2 linked regions of the Astyanax mexicanus genome follow. The protein of the gene in region 1 interacts with the protein of each later gene in a pairwise test. Links are inferred from orthologs where the notes say so. Each region holds a gene or a part of one and is shown in the gene's direction. Other genes may lie near its edges. The genes, in order: zbtb25 and sephs1.

Region 1 (8,573 bases):
TTATCAGAGTGTGTTGGAGCAAGCGTGAGGACCACATCTTCAACAGGCCTCACAGTTGAGATGTTAATGTTCGGACGAGTGGGTGTGCTTGCGACCTTGGGCACACGCTCGCTCTCTGCGGGGCTCGACCTCCGCTGCTCAAACATGCGTACGCCGAACATCATCTTGCCTCCCGCTGCACTGGAGGAGGACGAGGAGCTGGATGATGATGAGGAGGCAGAAGAGGAAGGAGTAAGGTTGGGCGTTCGGATGTCTCGCAGATCCTCCAGAGAATCAGGGATGTAGTACATCTGCAGATAAGCCATGGAGGACTTCAGTTCCTCAAACTCAAATTGGCCAACCATGATACGGCCGAGGTACATGAGCTGCAAGATGAGGTCAAAGCACTCTGCGCTGATCTGCATGTTGCTGAGATCCAGGCGCGCTGTCCCCTGCTGGTCTCGGATGAACATCATCCTGAAGTAGGAGCTGCAGGCCGCCAGCACAGCCTTGTGGGCTCGGAAATAAATGTCACCAATGGTGATGCAGCAGTCACACAGGAAACCCCACTCCCGTTGGTTGTTAAGCTGCTGCAAAACATGCTCACTGTGGCTTGGCCTTGCCATCACCTATGGAGGACTGTAAAGAAAGAAAAAAAGAAGAAAAAACACACACCACCATGATTAAATATATATATATACAGTAATAAGGGAAGTTCACCAAAATTACTTGTACAAAAGTGAATGGAATAACATACAGCATATTTTTGCTTTTACAATTGGCTCACTTGATAACTTACATGTATAATAATCTTTCAAATACATATACATACATTGAAGACAATACGATAGAGGAAGAAATTGCCAAATTAAATTACTTTAAATTCTCTTTCAATGTATCATACTTTCTTCACTTAAATATAACTTAAAAAAGCATAAATCTAATTGAATATGATATTTCTCTGACTGAGGTCCTGTCCACACATTTTAGACAACATAACTTTTTACTCTGTCTCTAACTATAAAATTCAGCAGAAAGCACCAACATTTCACAAGGTTTGATTTTTTGACCTTAAGAATTTTTAAGGTTTTCCTTAAAAATCAAGTGTAGATCTAAATACCATGTGGAGCTAAAACATTGAATCAGAAAAAAAATTCCATCTTTTCTATAAGCTATTTTGTTTACCCACACAAAAACAGTGAAAAGCAAATTTTCAGTCACTTGAAATTTAGTATTCATGAGGACTCAAGGCAAAAAAAAAAATCCAGCATGTGTGTGGATGGGGCAAGCACAGTATCTGCCATCCAGTGTGATCTGCTGTGATCTGTTTTTTTATGTTATCTCTTTTGTTACTTAATTACATGCAAACTGTAGTCTTTCTATGTAGTCTTAAAAAGCAGTCGATCAACTTTTCTGTTTGTTTTCTAGTATTTTAGTACAATAGTAGTACTAGTATTTAATAGTAATCTTTATTATAACAGACATGGACTATAAGTCTATGTACATTCTTTCTGATTAACAGTGGGAAAGCTAGGGAGCTATGGACTTGTTTACATTAGAGATTTACATTAAATTAGAGCACTGCAGTACAACTAATTCTGTGGTGTGAGGGCTATATGTTTTCACCTTTTTACAGAATGTGAATTTGACTATTGGCCTTCACTTTAATTTAGAATAAGTCAAGAGAAATATAAACATATTTACATAACAAGGAAAAGTTTTTCATTCTCCTGTTTGCATAGTATTTCCTCAGTTGCAATTTGTACAGTTGTCTTGCATACATAATCAGGGCTGCCAACTCTCAAACACTGACGTTGTGACTCACACTCACACCAAGCTTGCTATTTTCACACACATTTCTAACTACCCCTTTCCTTTTTAACCAAAACAACCTCCTGACAAACTTTACAGAATTTGCTGATTAAACTTACAGCCCATTTAGGGGGTTGCCCATCTAGAATCTCACAAAAAAAAAAACTATATTTAAACATGTTGCCTCTTTCAAAACAACAACAAAAAAGATGGGTAACATTTACTAATAAGTATTATTATTTATAATAATAAAATGAATAAACAGTAATGAATTTACACATTAGTTAAAATATGTATGTACTAACTAGTGTTAATTAATAATTAGTAGAGCCATTCTGCTGTAAGTTGTAAATTAATGTGCCTAAATAAATACATTAATTCAACTTTCGTGTATGTGACATACTTTGTGTGTGACAGGAACGATTATACACACTGTAAAGTCTGTACTCTCTGTATAGATCAGAGCTACTCTGACTGTGTTTAACACTCTGTATTACGGTATAGTTCGGTAAATACAGGCTAAATAACTCCTTAAGTCTCTGTCACTGGTGAGGAGCGTGGTGTTTGTGTGTATTAAGCCCTGAGTTCAGGAGTGTACAGGAGTGTACAGAGAGTGCACTCTGACTGTACTTTCTCTTTGTTGTGCTGAAACTGGGAGGTGGAAGTCCCGCCCCCGCGCTCTGATTGGTCCGTTCCCGGGCCAGACTCATGCGGGCGTCGTGGCTGTCAATCATCACGCACTGAAAAAAAAAACTAAAAAACAAAACTCCGCTCGTCCGAAAGTGTCTGAAACACCGGCCCGGTCGAGTCGGGGTCATGAGCGGGGTCGAGCGGGTACACGGGATCAGTGAAGCGGCGGGTCTGGAGCTCTGATCTGCGGCTCGCTCGCTCGCTGCCTGCGTGTGTGTCTCTCCCGCACGCCCGCCCGCCGCCCCCACGCTGCTTTCCCCCGCACGTAATGGTACTGGGAGGAGGAAGAGCTCGCGCTCTCGGAGCTAAAGCTAATGTTTACACTCGCAGAAGGCCAGCGGTACGATATACTCACCCGCGCGTCGACCGGAGGCGAGCGACGGAGTGGAGCTGGGACGCGGAGCCGCGGGCTCTCGCCGCGTTCTTGGCCCGAGAGGCGGGAGGAAAGTTGGGAGGACGGGGAGAGAGAGAGAGAGAGAGAGAGAGAGCTAATCGCCCCCTCGCTTCTACAGCAGCAGCAGCAGGAGGAGCAGGAGGGATGAAAGAACTTCCGCACAGCCGCTGCGCGAGTTTGCGCACGCAAACGCACACGCAAATACGAGAGAGAGAGAGAGAGAGAGAGAGAGAGAGAGAGAGAGAGAGAGAGAGAGACACGCAGCCCGCCCTAACACGCAGGGGCAGCCAGTGAGACTGCAACCGTACATGAACTGTGTGTGCTAAAGTGAGAAGTGAACCACAGACTGTATATTAATACTTATATACGTATACAGTCTATAGAGGGAACGGCCTGCCTGTTCCTAACCAGCTATCTAACTATATTTCACTTCTGTATCAGAACAAAATAAGATAAGACCCATATAAGCCTGATAATATAAAATCAGATCAGATAACACTTTACTAAACTTACGTTATTTGATGAGAGTGTCCCGGCAGCTTACATACAGATACACACAAGTACACTAAGAAGCTAGAAAAATAAAAATTATATATAAAAATCTATATGATACACTGGGCTGTAAAATACATTATAAGCAGAGATACTATGACCTGGATTAGTCTAGTCAAGCCAAGTAGTTATATTGTTAATTACTGCATACTTACAGGACATACAAAGGATTGAACCTTTGAATTACGTTACCCTCCTTCCCAAAGCTACAAAAAGTACAGCAAGATAAAAACATTAATATAAAAGAATGAGAGACACTAAATGTATACAACAAGGTCACATTTATAGACATACATGGGACAAAAGACACAAGACAGTAGTGCAGTAGTGATGGGGAGATTACAGATGGAATGACAGTACCATTGTAAACAGAACCTGTATAAACATTAGGGCAAATATAGGTAGTTACAGCTACATTAGCCACAGCGATGAAGTCCCAGTTCACTTTGTGGTAAACAAAACATGACCCTGATGGCAAAGAACATTGAATAAACCTTATTTATTTTTTGTTGCATTGCATCTTTTAAGGTTGATGATGGAAAACAACCTTAAAAACAGCCTTTATTCACCATTGCTTAATAAACATTGGTTAATGTTAAAATTCTGACATTGAATCGACGTTCACTTTAATGTTTTAAACACTCACAATGATTTTAGATGAAAGCTAATAATATTAATATTAGTAATTATTATTTAAATGTCCTATTTCACCCTGCTAGACCACAGTACATACTATAGTTATAATGTGAGTAAAGTTTAAAACAAACAGTACATACAAAACCATAACTTTGAATCAATGTTGAATCAATGTGCTCAAATAAATCAAATCTGACGTCGGAGATCAACGTTTTTCAATGCATTAACGTTAAAAACGTGAATGTCAATTCAATCTACTCTTTGGGGACTTTGCGAATAAATTATTATGATAATATATTTAATTCTAAAAAAAACGTTTTATATTAGCTGGTTATATATATATATATATATATATATATATATATATATATATATATATATATATATATATATATATATATAGTGGCCATGCTGAAGTGTCCAGTTGGAATAGATAAATAAATAAGCATATATTAGTCAATAAAAGTATATCAGAGTCAGTATATATAGGCAATAGATATATAATACAAGTATAAATATAGAATGGAGAAGCAACAGAAAAAGAAAGAGGGATAACAAAGATAAAACTTCACTAAATTGTAGCTACAGGTTTATAACTAACTTTGTTGTGTGACTTTGTAGCTAAGTTCTCTTGTGAGGAATAAGTCAGTTCCACCTTAAACATGACTAGAGTAAGTGCACTATTTAAGGTGGAACGGACAATTCCTGTAAAGAGATTTGCTGAGTGAACGATATGCTAGCTAGCTATCATTCTCCACCATGCCAGCTAAAGCTAGCTATGTAGGGGAAGCTACATTTTTTTCTTTTTTTTTGCATGCGTGCCTCTCGCCATGCGTTGTGTCTGCATCTGCTAATGTACGGTCACGTGACAGAAGAGCCCGAGCAGAGCCTGTCCGTCAGACGCATAGGAAGCAGCACGAGCGCGTCCCTGCAGCAGCACGCGCCAGCTAATAATCATAATAATACTAATAGAGCCGAGCGGTTCTCACGCACGTAGGCGGTAAGATTGCGTTTTCTTCAGCCTGTTTCGTCTGTCTGCGAGCGCGTGCATGCTTGATGTGTGGAGGTGCATGCCAGGCGAGTCCTCCGTTTCTTCGACAACTGCTTATAGAGCAGACGTGTGAAAATGAATGTGATGCTGTCTTGGCGGTGGGAGGCAAAGGGGGGATCGAGCTCGGTTACAGACAGCACCGACTCGTCTCCCCTGCTGTTTGCCGCTTCCAGCAGTTAACAGCGCTATTCGAAGATGGGTAAAGTGCGTTTTTTTGTGCCGCCTCTCATTGTCATTGTCTCAGATCAACAGCCTTTATAAGAAACTCAGGCTGACACCAGCACTACCACCACTTCACCACCACACACAACAGATGCGGCCGCGAGCTCCACGGATCATCATATGCCAGGCATGTCACTTACATAGAGCAACACTAGAGCTGTAAGTTGCGGATTGCACCGTTTCACCGCTTTTTCCAGTGATACGCGCTCATGCGAGGCCAAGCGCAGACGTGTAGCCTCGTTAGACGTCAGAGTCGCTGGGACAATCCCATCCAGATGTAAACATCTGGCCTAGGTCTCCCCCAAAAAATGGGCACAAAAAAGCAGGACCAGCTCTCAACAACAGAGGTCGCCCTTTATCCCGTCTTCTTGAATTTCATTGTATTAAAGATTAAAGTTGTGTGCCTTATATGACCTCATTTTTAAATATTTTAAAACAGCCTTTTCCACCTTAAATCATTAAACAACACAAAAAATAGCCTATATTCCTATAAGATATAATTCATTATTACTAAAGCTTTGAGTTTAGTCCTTCACTGAAGACATGGATAAGATGGAATACATTTAATGTAACAACTCAATAACAATTAATTTAAAGGACCATTAAGAATTATATTTTCATTAGTAAATGATAAAATTATCAGGATGTATCATCAGATATTAAGGAAACATGCTGAGTTAAAGTACCGGCAGCTTTTGTAGTACTGCTTCAACCAATACATTCCTATTTGGACTGTTAAGTCCGTCACGGGTGTCTGTGTTTGTTTTGGCCTCTGACGCCTCTGATTTGGTTAATATTTTCTTTTGTCTAAGCAATTGTTGTCTTGTCATCCTGCATCCTAAGAGGACAGACGACACATATTCACACACTGCATTGAACTATGCCAGAGTAACCAGGACTAGTTATATTGTAATTTTAATGCAACATTAATGGTCAGTGTTTAGTTACTGACTGTATCCAGGGTTGATTCAAAACTAAATAATTTCCCAGGCCAACCTTGTAGAGCCCACTTTTTACACTAATTTTACCATCATTTCTTCTTAATGCGGTTCCTAATCATATGTTTGTTTGTGTTTAGGGCATTGGGCTAGTAGAGGGGGCATCATGGACGTGTCTACCCACAGTCTGTTCCTCCTCCAGCAACTGAATGTCCAAAGAGAGTTTGGTTTCCTGTGTGATTGTACCGTAGCTATTGGCAATGTATACTTCAAAGCCCATCGAGCAGTGCTGGCTGCCTTCTCCAACTACTTTAAGATGATCTTCATCCATCAGTCCAGGTTAGCCCATCTCTTAAATACTCTTTTTGGTATAAGCTAGGTCTATCCAGTCCTGGACATAAAGAGTTTACTACTCTACTGGAGAGTTCTGATAAAAAACATCTGGTTCTGAAACTGCGAGGCCTCTAAAGACCCTTAATACTTGGACCATTGAATTTGGTAGATCTCTAGGACCAGGATTGGGTTTCCCTTATAAACTTTTAGGAGTGAGCACATTTTTAAGATGAAGAAGATGGCTGGAGTGCTTGCAGATTCTTATTACAACAAAGTAGATGTACACGATTATTTGTTTGAAATCAAATAATAAAATAAGAAGTCACATAACACAGCCCTGGCCTCTTGCAGATAAGACCGGACTGTAATTCAATTCTATAGAGATGCACAATGATATTGGAATTATATCAGTATATCAGTATTGGCTGCATTTTGTTCATTTTAATACATTTGTAATCCTCTAGACTATACCTATTAATGTGCATTTTGCCCCTGTTTCTAATTGACAGTGACCGACATTGCACCCGTACATGTAATATCGGTCAACGGCTTACACTTCCAATTTCAGTGCTAGGGATGTGCCATGTCATATTTTACACAATTATATCACCAACATTTTTAATTATTGTAGTAGAATGTAGAAATATTGTAGAAATTGTAGAAATACTCTAATATTTTTTAGGGCCATCATGGTGCAAGTTTTTGCTGTTTGTAGAAAAAGGAAAATTCACACTGTTCATGTTTCCCATTACAAATCTACTAGAGACTTGAGATTATATCTGTGCAGTTTTATTTATTGTACCTTAATCCTGGATATATGGAGTGAATTATTAGTATCATGGCAGATTTTGGATTATTGACTTCTGTTACAATCTGGTAAAAATCTCAGTTAGGAATGTGATATATCATATGTATGCAATAATATGGACAAATATAGTTTAATATTCTTTTCATTGCAGTAGTGTTTTCTTGAATAATTTTTTAATTGATTGTTTTGTCATATTGCCAAGAATATAATTATCGCAAAAATACTCAAATAATACTGAAATTATTTTAGGGCCATATTACCCACCCCTAATCAGTGCATCCCAAACAAAAAATGCAGAATGCAGTATATGTATATTGACTAAGCTTATTCCATTGTTTCCCAATTTTCAGTGAGTGCATAAAGATCCAGCCCACTGATATCCAGCCAGATGTCTTCAGCTACCTGTTGCACATCATGTACACAGGCATGGGCCCTAAGCAGCCTGTGGATCAGAGCAGGCTGCAGGATGGCATCAAGTTCCTTCATGCATACCAGCTGTGCCGGAAGGCAGGTGAAGGCGGTCCTGACGCTTCCTCCGATGCCATTCGCATGTCCAACCTGTACGGCATCCAGATCTCCTCCCAGCTGACCACTAAAGAGTCGTCAGGCCTGAAGGCTGCCAGCACCTCACGAGATCCAGAAGATGGTCGCTCCAGTGCTCGGGCCGAGCGTGCTCTTGCAGGCCGACCTGCTCTTGCTGTGGGTCTTGAAGGACTTCCAATGGATCGCCAATCCCGAAGCCTCCGCGGGGTCTCCTCTGTGGCGTCGGGTGACGATTCAAATTCTATTTCAACCAGGATCAAGCAGGAGAGGGTAGAGGAGGAAGAGCAAGAAGAAGGGGAGGAGGAACACCAGGCGTCTGGCTCGCTCCCCTCAGCCAGGGGCAGCCCTTGTCAGATGGCTCTTTTCAAGGATGGTCCTTTGGCACTGCTGTGTCCTCGATGTGGCGCGCGGTGCCTGTCACCGGAGGGCTTGCAGGAACACCTTTTCAGTCATGCTGCCTGCACCCTGGAGCCCTCTATCAGCAGCTTGATGGAGGGGGGGCCCTCTGAAGATGGTGTTGGAGATGCCAGGGGACCAGAAGACAGGCGGGCTCAGAATGATCGCGTGGACAGAGGCACTTTAGAGGAGGCCTTGCGGCAAAGCCAGGCACTTGCT
Region 2 (9,256 bases), on another chromosome or scaffold:
TCCTAATACTAATGTATACTATTATGTGAGTACCATATAGTATTTGGTACTACCTCAATACTATATGGTGCTCACATAATACTATCTGGTGCTTACCTGATACTGTCTGGTACTCACATCACAATATCCAGTGCTAATCTAACATTATCTGGTACTACCTTAATGCTATCTAATGTTCTCCGAATACTTTATGGTGGTCACATAATACTATCTGGTGCTCACGTAATACCAACTGGTGCTCAAGTAATACTGTCTGGTATTTTGAGGCATGTGGTAATAATACTTCTATGGACTTGAATGTATCTGAATGTGAGAATCAGGTAAATGTGATTAGAGTGGCAGTTGTATTGGGATGTATGTATATGAGTGTAAGTGCTTTGGGTTATGGTGTGTATGCTGCTTATGTAAAGAACATTAGATTGAGTATCAATAATGTTTATTAATATCTCAGCCGTCTGTCTCTCTCAGCCGGAGGTGCAGTTGGCGGAGGATTATGAAGTGTTCATCCCTAAGGCACAGTTGGACTCCATCCTGCTGAACTACACTCGCTCAGGCAGTCTGCTCTTCAGGAAGCTGGTGTGTGCCTTCTTCGATGATGCTACGCTAGCTAACTCACTGCCCAATGGAAAGAGGAAGAGGGGTCTGAATGACCATAGAAAAGGACTAGACCAAAACATAGTGGGAGCCATCAAAGGTGAGTGGACAGCAATAAACCAAGCTAAGAGTTTGTTGTAATGGTATAAATTCTGAAAATATACAGTACCACAAACCGTATAAACATTTTTAAATAAAATAAAGAATTTTCCACTCATGGAAACATAATTTAGAATTTTACAAATTGGTATGTTCTATAAGCCTTACATCAGTGAATGAAGACCCAAATATAACCTGTTTTAGGATTCTTGCAAACCATGAAGGCCATGAAGCTTCTGTTTACAAACCACCTAATTACATGTTTTGGACAATGGACAATTATATTAGAAAGTTGTAATTTAAGCAGTATAATATTTTACCGTAAAATAGCAGCATCATAATTGTATTAGCTGCACTATGTATCTTTGGTGATTCTGCATTGGGCCTCTCACCAGTACTGTGTAACACTGCTTAACTCAAGTCATGTTTGCGTAAAATTTGCATAAAAAGTACTTACCAGCCTGTGCCAGTATACAATAAAACACCTACAGTTTTGGAAAAAAATAATAGACCACTTCAGTTTCTGAATCAGTTTCTCTGATTTAGCTATTTATAGGTATATATTTGAGTAAAATGAACATTGTTGTTTTATTCTATAAACTACAGACATTTCTCCCAAATTACAAATAAAAATATTGTCATTAAGAGCATTTATTTGCAGAAAATGAAAAAAATGGCTGAAATAACAAAAAAGATGCAGAGCTTTCAGACCTCAAATAATGCAAAGAAAACAAGTTCATATTCATAACGTTTTAAGAGTTCAGAAATCAATATTTGTTGAAATAACCCTGGTTTTCATTAATCTTGGCATGTTCTCCTCCACCAGTCTTACACACTGCTTTTTGGATAGCTTTATGCCACTCCTGGTGCAAAAAATTCAAGCAGTTCAGCTTAGTTTGATGGCTTGTGGTCATTCGTCTTTCTCTTGATTATATTCCAATTTTCAATTTGGTCATTTTTGGTCATTTTTAAGTGGTCTCTTTTTTTTCCAGAGCTGTATAACCCTAATCTTGAGAAAGTTTTATTTTATTTAATGGTTTTACACATTTTTATGACTGTTTGTGTCTGAGTGCAGTGTTCACAGAAAAGTACTGCACTGCTAACAGAATTGAGAAGCTTCCTGGTCCACGAGACTGGGTCCAGATCCTTCAAGACCAGATCAAACTGGCTCGCCGGCGCTTAAAAAGAGGTTGGTGTATACCCTTTTTTGTTTACAGACCACATACTGTACTACAAAGCTATGTGATTGGTGATCGTTTATTACATAATCGCGTGTGTGGTTGTGTGTGTATATGGTTGTACAGCAGAGACAAATACAGACTGTGACGAGACCCTCAACAGGACACCTACAGATAAAACAGGTATAGAAGCACATTACTTGTCCATCCTCGTAATTTGTCAATATAAACACTAAGATGGTTAGGACAGTATGAAAATGGTGCATTTGTATAATAATAATAAATTAGAATGAAAATAATTGAAATGACAAAGACTTAAATATTATTTAAAAATGAAGAATTTAAATGTAGACAAATGCACTACATGTCCAAATGGTAATTATGAATATCGCAGAGGCAGACCCGCAGATCTTTAAATGTTTTTCTGGGGTTTTTGTGACCTCCTGGATGAGTTGTCCATGCCCTTTTGGAATAGTTTTGGTTGGCCAGCCACTTCTGGGAAGGTTTACCAGTGTTCCATGTCTTCTCCATTTGTGAATACTAGCTCTCACTGTGGTCATCCAGATACCCAAAGCCTTAGAAATGACATTGTAACATTTTCCAGACTGATAGATGTCAATTCATTTTTTCATCTGTTTTTGAATGTCTTTAGATCGTGGAATGACTGCTTTATGTTGTCAGACAGGTTCTATTTAAGTATTTTTTTAATTCTACAGGTAATTAAATTAATAATCACATTTTTTTGGGGGGGGGAGCAAACACTTTTTTACAAAGAGCTAGATTGGTTTAAATAGTTTTTTCTCAGACTTTTTAATATCATTTCAAAGTGCTTTTTATATTACTCAACTTATATTTGTCTGATATCAAAGTTTGTTTAATAACCAGAACAATGTAAGTATGACATAAATGCAAAAATAAAATAATTCTGGAAGGAGGAAAAGCCTTTTTACGCCACTGTATATACAGAGAGCGGGTGGAGATAGAGTTTTGTGTTGATACTAAAGGGAGTATTTCAGAGAAACAGTGCCATCTAGCTATTACAGTTTCTTATATTTTATTCCTAGTGCATGTTCATGTATTTATCTCTTTATATCCTATATAATCTCTTTTATGCCAGGTGAATCACAACTCACTGCTGAGAATGGGCTGAAGTCTCAGATGAGTTTAAATGGTAATGAACATCTAATGTATATATATATATATATATATATATATTTTGTATCCATATATCCAGTGTAAGAGCAATGTTGTGTTAACATACAGTATATTTCCCTCTTTTCTATAATAGGTGCAGATTATGCACTAGGAGGGCATCAATCTGCAAACAAACATGCTTAAAAGTCTCCCCTCCATTTGCTTCAGAAGAAGTCCTGAATCAGTCTGGACGGCAGCGTGAATCAGTCTAAAGTCTGAGGTATTTTTGATTGTCTTCATGAAAGGGCTGGACAATTCAGATGGTAGAAACTGGTGATAAGGACTAAATGAGCTTGCTCATCTCACAACAGAAACCTCCCTAACTCTGTGACTGCTCTAAATACACTGTTAAAAACTGTTTTTCTGTTTTGTTTCAGATGCTTCCTGTTATGTATGGTGGTTTAAAATGTGTGTGAATGACTTGGATTGTTGTTGTTTTATAGTTAAATATATGAAGTAATGTGTGTGTGTACTTCCTTAACCTCTTCCAAGTGCTTCATGAGACAAAGTGAAGCTCTGATGTTGAGAAAATATGATTGTGTGCCTTTAACTCATTCTGCCATACCTCTCCAAAAGCACTGTATATTGTAAAATGTATATATAGTGCCATTTTCCACATCAGCAGTACCTAATGTTATTCTCCTCGCATAGTAATCAATGTACCAGTACTGTGACCATATAAGCTGATTATGATATGTGCTAAATCTCTCCCAGTATAAGAGGATATGTATGTGTAATGTGCACAACTGAGTGAATTAAGTCCCTCGTCTCAGTCACATGGATTTTTACCTCACTGGCTTTTAATGCTTGACTGATTATTGTACTGTATGCACAGATTGTCTATGTCGATTGTTTAAAACCTGTAAGAAAGGAAAAAAGAGCCTAAACTGTTTGAAGTGTGTCTTATTATTGTATATAAAATGCAGTGCTTTATTTGGTCTTAGTGGTCATTTAAAACATTACCATAATATGTACTGGAGTAATCAGAAATATATATATATATATATATATATATATATATATATATATATATATATATATATATATATATATATATATATATATATATTTTTTTTTTTTTTTTTTTTTTTTATGTAAACATTTTAATATATTTCAAAATCTGCACATTTTGCTGTTTATTTATTAAAAAAACTTTTTAAATTATTTTAAATTATGTACCTGTATAAAACATCTGACAATAGACAATAATCCTTATTGTGAAATACCTTAACACACATGCAGGAACATTTTCATATACATATACTATATTATTGTTCCAAGGGCACTTATAACAGAACACAAATACATGGTATTTAGGGTTTCTGCTTAAAAACTAAAAACAAAATCAGCTGACAAAACTCGTCTGTTCTTATTAATTTGCAAATCCACTTAGTCCACAAAATATGAAATCATAATAATGGTTTGTTGGCATCTACTTCACATTGACTGTCTTTTTTAATAATTAGAACATATACATTGTGTGTTGGTTACCCAGACAGGGATTATGCCTAATCCAAGGCTAGTATTAGTCTCTGTTTGGAAAACTGTCCCCGTGTAGTATATGGAACCAAATTGATACTATACAGATACAGAAGAAAAGAAAAAATCTAAGTGAATACACAATTTACAAAAACACATTAAATAAAGTATTTAATACATCCCTGGTTTTTACAGCTTTTTAGACAATGCAGTGATGATTAATGCATTAGTTGGCAACCACAATAAATGTGTGAAGTGTAGAATTAGTCGATTCACATTTGTGAATATGACTTTTGCTTAAACAATAATAAAATTAACAATTGAATATTTAGATGGGTTCAGATGTGTAGGTTCAGTTTTGAGTTCAGATGTACAGGTTCAGTGTTTTGTTTTTCAGTGTTTGGTTCAGATGTACAGATTTAATGTTGGGTTCAGATGTACAGGTTCAGTGTTTTGTTTTTCAGTGTTGAGTTCAAATACGCAGAAAGTGTTTTATTTATCAGTGTTTGTTTCATATGTACAGATTCAGTGCTGGATTTAAATTCACAGAGACAGTGTTTCATTTTTCAGTATTTGGTTAAGATGTACAGGTTCAGCGTTTGGTACAGTGTTGGGTTCATATGTACAGGTACAGTGTTTGGTTAAGATGAACAGGATCAGTGTTTGGTACAGTGTTTGGTTCAGATGTACCAGTACAATGTTTGGTACAGTGTTTGGTTCAGGTGTACCGGTACAATGTTTGGTACAGTGTTTGGTTCAGGTGTACAGGTACAGAGTTTGGTTCAGATGTACAAGTTCGGCGTTTGGTTCAGATGAACAGGATCAGTGTTTGGTACAGTGTTTGGTTCAGGTGTACAGGTACAGTGTTTCATACAGTGTTGGGTTCAGATGTACAGGTTCAGTGTTTGGTTCAGGTGTACAGGTACAGTGTTTGGGTTCAGTCAGTCATTCACTCACTCTCTGGCTCTCTTGGAGCCTCTTTAAAGGGGAGGTAATCGCGCCACAGCGCCTGATCAGGACCCTTTGTGTTGGACGCGGGTCAGTGTGGGATCCCGCTCCCGCAGACCGCGCTGTTTATTACTGTAATTTACCGCTGTATTTCTGCTGCTCGGCGCGGAGCTGAGCTGGAGGTGTAGCGCTGGTTGTGAGGCCGGGAGGGAGAGCCGCGGGCCTGGGCGCGGTGTTTTCAGGCAGGCGGTCGGCGCGGGCAGCTGTGAGAAGGCGCTGTGGCGGCGGGCCTGCTGCGGCTCTGTATCGGGAGGCGCCGCTAAAGCGAAACCGGTAAGGAGAAGCGGAGCTGCTGAATTAAAGGGGAAATGTAGCGGGAATGCATGTGTGCCACAGCGCTTAAAGCGCGGGGAGCGCTCCTTTACGCCCTAGTTTACGGGTTTCTGCGGGTCTAGTGGGCTCTAAAGGGGCGCAGCGGGGTCTGAGCGCTGGTTTTAATGCCTAGTTGGAGCACACCTCTCATGGCGCTGGGCGCTGCAAGGGTTAATTTTTTCCACCGCCGACATTTTACTATAAACGCTTAAACCAGCCTATACTAAAATAGCCCGCTAACTAAAGCTCGGGCGCGTGTTTAATGGAGCTTATTCGCGGCTTAGTGTATGTGTGGGGTGAAAAGCTGCAGTATTGAAGGTGTTTGTTGGCTATTTTGGAGGTTTGTTTGCTGCAGGGTAGCATTAGCAAAGCTGTTTTTACAGAGTCTGCCCACTTCTGAGCTAGGTTAGCTAGTTCCCCCATTATATCAGACTGTGTCTATATGACTGCGAACCGCTAGAGGGAGCCCGCAAGTGAGACCTAAATTAATGGGTGTGAATGGAGCTAAAAAGCTAAAACGCACATTAAAAATAGTAATTAATTGATTGTCTATAATATATCTTTATTATTAGAAGGTAGAACTAAAGTTTGTGCTAAAATAGCAAAGAAGGCGGACCTGCTACAATTACGCATAGTACAGATTTTTAGTTTGTTTGGTTACAGTAGCTCACAAGTGCACGATAACTGACAACTTTACACAGTGTACACACCTGTAAACTTAACATGTGCAGAGTGCAGCAGCAAAGGACGTAGTAAAGACTGAATTAATTTCACCTAAAAGTTTCTTTAATTTTTACCAAAATAAAAACTTCTGGAATATAATCAAGAGCTGCTTTATTTTTTGCACCAGAGTGGCATAAAGTTATCTAAAAACAAGGTGTGTCAGACAGATGATTGACAACTTTTAAAAAAAAAGTTTTTAAAAACCAGGGTTATTACACCAAATATTGATTTCTGAGCTGAAATAACAAAAGGTCTGAAAGCTGCATCATTTCCCACTTTGTACTTGACCATCTTAAGAGATCAATATTATACCTTTGAGGGTACAATTATGAAAAGTGTACAAAAAACTACTTATATTATACCTGTTTTTTTGGTGTGTAGTGAAGTAGAAGTCTGCATTAAACTGACGGGTTGAGTTTAAAAGCTTTAAAAAATAAATATTCTGTGTTGAGAAAATGAGAACATTTTCAGTATATAAAATAAAACATTTATAAACTCTGCTTTTGCTCAATTGCTTCATATGAACCCATTTATTTTGGACCCCCTCTGGTGGTGAAAGAAGCCCGGGGTAGGTGCTGAAGTGGGCAGTCTCCTCTCTGTAGAGGCTCTTTGGTAGCATTAGCTGGTGGTGCGAGAGCAGCAGAGCTACAAACAGCTGCAGCAGCTAACAGAGCAACACCGCCCACTTTACTACATCTAGCCTCCCCGTATTTCACTGCTGCGCTGGATCAGACCTGCAGATGAGCAGCAGCGGGTTTTAAAGACGCGTATAAACCCCGTTAGTAACTTTTAGAGCTGTTTCTGCTGCAGCAGCTGCTGCTCTGTAGGAATCTCGGGCCTATAGCCGCCGCTGCTGCTGATCAGTGGCTGAGCTGATGTGGTTGTGCGCGCGCTCTTAGTGCGCTGTTTTTAAAGGGGAGGATGTGCTGGAAACTCCTCTATAAACAGCTCGGTGAATGGAGGAGTTTAGTTGGGCACTGATTTTAGTATGGGTGTGTTTTTAAGTGCACACACATATAAATACAGGAAAAGTAAAAAGTATTTTAGACAAAGTAAAAGGACTTTATAAAGAGTGGAATCTAGCGTAATTAAACAATGCAGCACTACTGTACAAATATATCACTATATATAAATATTAGGGCTGGGAGGTTTATGTTTTAATGCGATTTTCAAAATGAGACGATGGTCTTAATAGAAGCTTCCAGAGAGATTCTCAGTAGATTGTCTTGTCTTTTATAGGATAGAATAGTCTTTTATCTACACTTATACACTTTGCCTTAACTGAAATACAGGGTTACGTTTGCACCATGTTTAATAAAAAAGCTGCATGTGAAGTTCAATGGGGTTGTGCACTATTTTTAAAATGGAATAGTGGAAATCTGTACATATTAAAGCTTCTAGAGAGTATGTCAGATCTCAGTAGAGTAAAAAAGTATTTTTATGTGGCAGTTATTTCCATGTTTTATGCTGTTTCTTAACTGAAATACAAGGAAGTTGCTTTTGCAACGTGTTTAATATAAAAGCTATATGTAAGGTTGAAGGGGTCTGCGGACTATTCGCTAAAGAAAAAAAAATACAATAAATTAATTTTGTTATGTTAATGTTAATCACTCAGTAAAACATAACATTTAAAATTTTGTTTAAATGTAAAATAAATAAATAAATAAAAAAGAACAAAAATTAAGGCAAAAGTTTTGTCTTGACAGTATTGCCACTGTGCCTATTAATTTAATCTGCAGGCTTTTCTGTGTGTGTGTGTGTTTTAATATGAACTTATTTTATTGTAAAGATGCAGCTAATATAAAATTTTAATCTATCCCTCAGTGTGTTGACTGGTGTGGGCTCCAGTAAAATCTAAACCATGTCAGTGCGGGAGGCTTTTAACCCGGAGAGTTACGATCTGGATAAGAACTTCAGGCTAACACGCTTCACAGAACTGAAAGGCACTGGCTGTAAAGTTGCTCAGGATGTCCTTCAGAAACTTCTCGAGGCTTTGCAGGAGAACCATTATCAGGAGGATGAGCAGTTCCTCGGGGCAGTTATGCCCAGACTAGGTTTGTAAAATATTTTTTTCAGTATTTTTTCAGTCTTAATAGAATAGTCGCATTCTGCTGTCACTCTTATTTGTAGTGTGTCTTGAAGCTAAATGGCTGAAATATACTCAGCAGTATTATTTATTTAATTTAAACAGGCTTTTTAAAACATGCTGCTACCTTTATTTTTAAATGATAACTTCTGATTTAAAGTATGTGTATATGCGTGTTTGTGTCTATTACAGGCATTGGAATGGACACCTGTGTTATTCCTTTGAGACACGGGGGGCTTTCACTAGTACAAACCACAGATTACATCTACCCTATAGTAGATGACCCATACATGATGGTAAATATCACTTATGTGTATAACTAATCAAAATCCAGTTCAGTACAATAGAACAAATCAATATAATGCTTTCATAACACACTAATAATAAAGAATAGTATCTTCTCTGTAGTGGTCCTGTGCCATTTAAGTAAATGTTCATGAACCTCATTCCATAACTACACTGGAGCTTTGATTGGGCCCAAAAACTCCAGTCCAATTCAAATCAAGCCTGTGCGCATTCTGTCCGAGCACAACCCGGCCTGCCCTATAAACTCGTTATAAGCCTGATTTAACTGACATTTGTT

Evidence for each region.
Region 2: the proteins of zbtb25 (region 1) and sephs1 interact in binary tests that used the Homo sapiens proteins (3 or more experiments, as listed by UniProt). The two-hybrid records come from large-scale screens. The link is inferred for Astyanax mexicanus from reciprocal best matches to the Homo sapiens genes ZBTB25 and SEPHS1.

The regions. Positions count from the first base shown.
Region 1 is NC_064408.1:77,708,218-77,716,790, reverse strand, and holds the start of zbtb25 (zinc finger and BTB domain-containing protein 25), read left to right. Parts: upstream 1-4,542; 5' UTR 4,543-5,063; intron 5,064-6,414; 5' UTR 6,415-6,440; coding exon 6,441-6,613; intron 6,614-7,765; coding exon 7,766-8,573. Other genes in the region: zbtb1 (zinc finger and BTB domain-containing protein 1), read right to left, coding at 1-605. UniProt on the Homo sapiens protein: May be involved in transcriptional regulation.
Region 2 is NC_064416.1:15,379,333-15,388,588, reverse strand, and holds the start of sephs1 (selenide, water dikinase 1), read left to right. Parts: upstream 1-5,575; 5' UTR 5,576-5,825; intron 5,826-7,229; exon of another isoform or gene 7,230-7,365; intron 7,366-8,411; 5' UTR 8,412-8,448; coding exon 8,449-8,641; intron 8,642-8,865; coding exon 8,866-8,969; intron 8,970-9,256. Other genes in the region: bend7 (BEN domain-containing protein 7), read left to right, coding at 469-694, 1,769-1,882, 1,998-2,054, 2,989-3,042, 3,160-3,209. UniProt on the Homo sapiens protein: Synthesizes selenophosphate from selenide and ATP.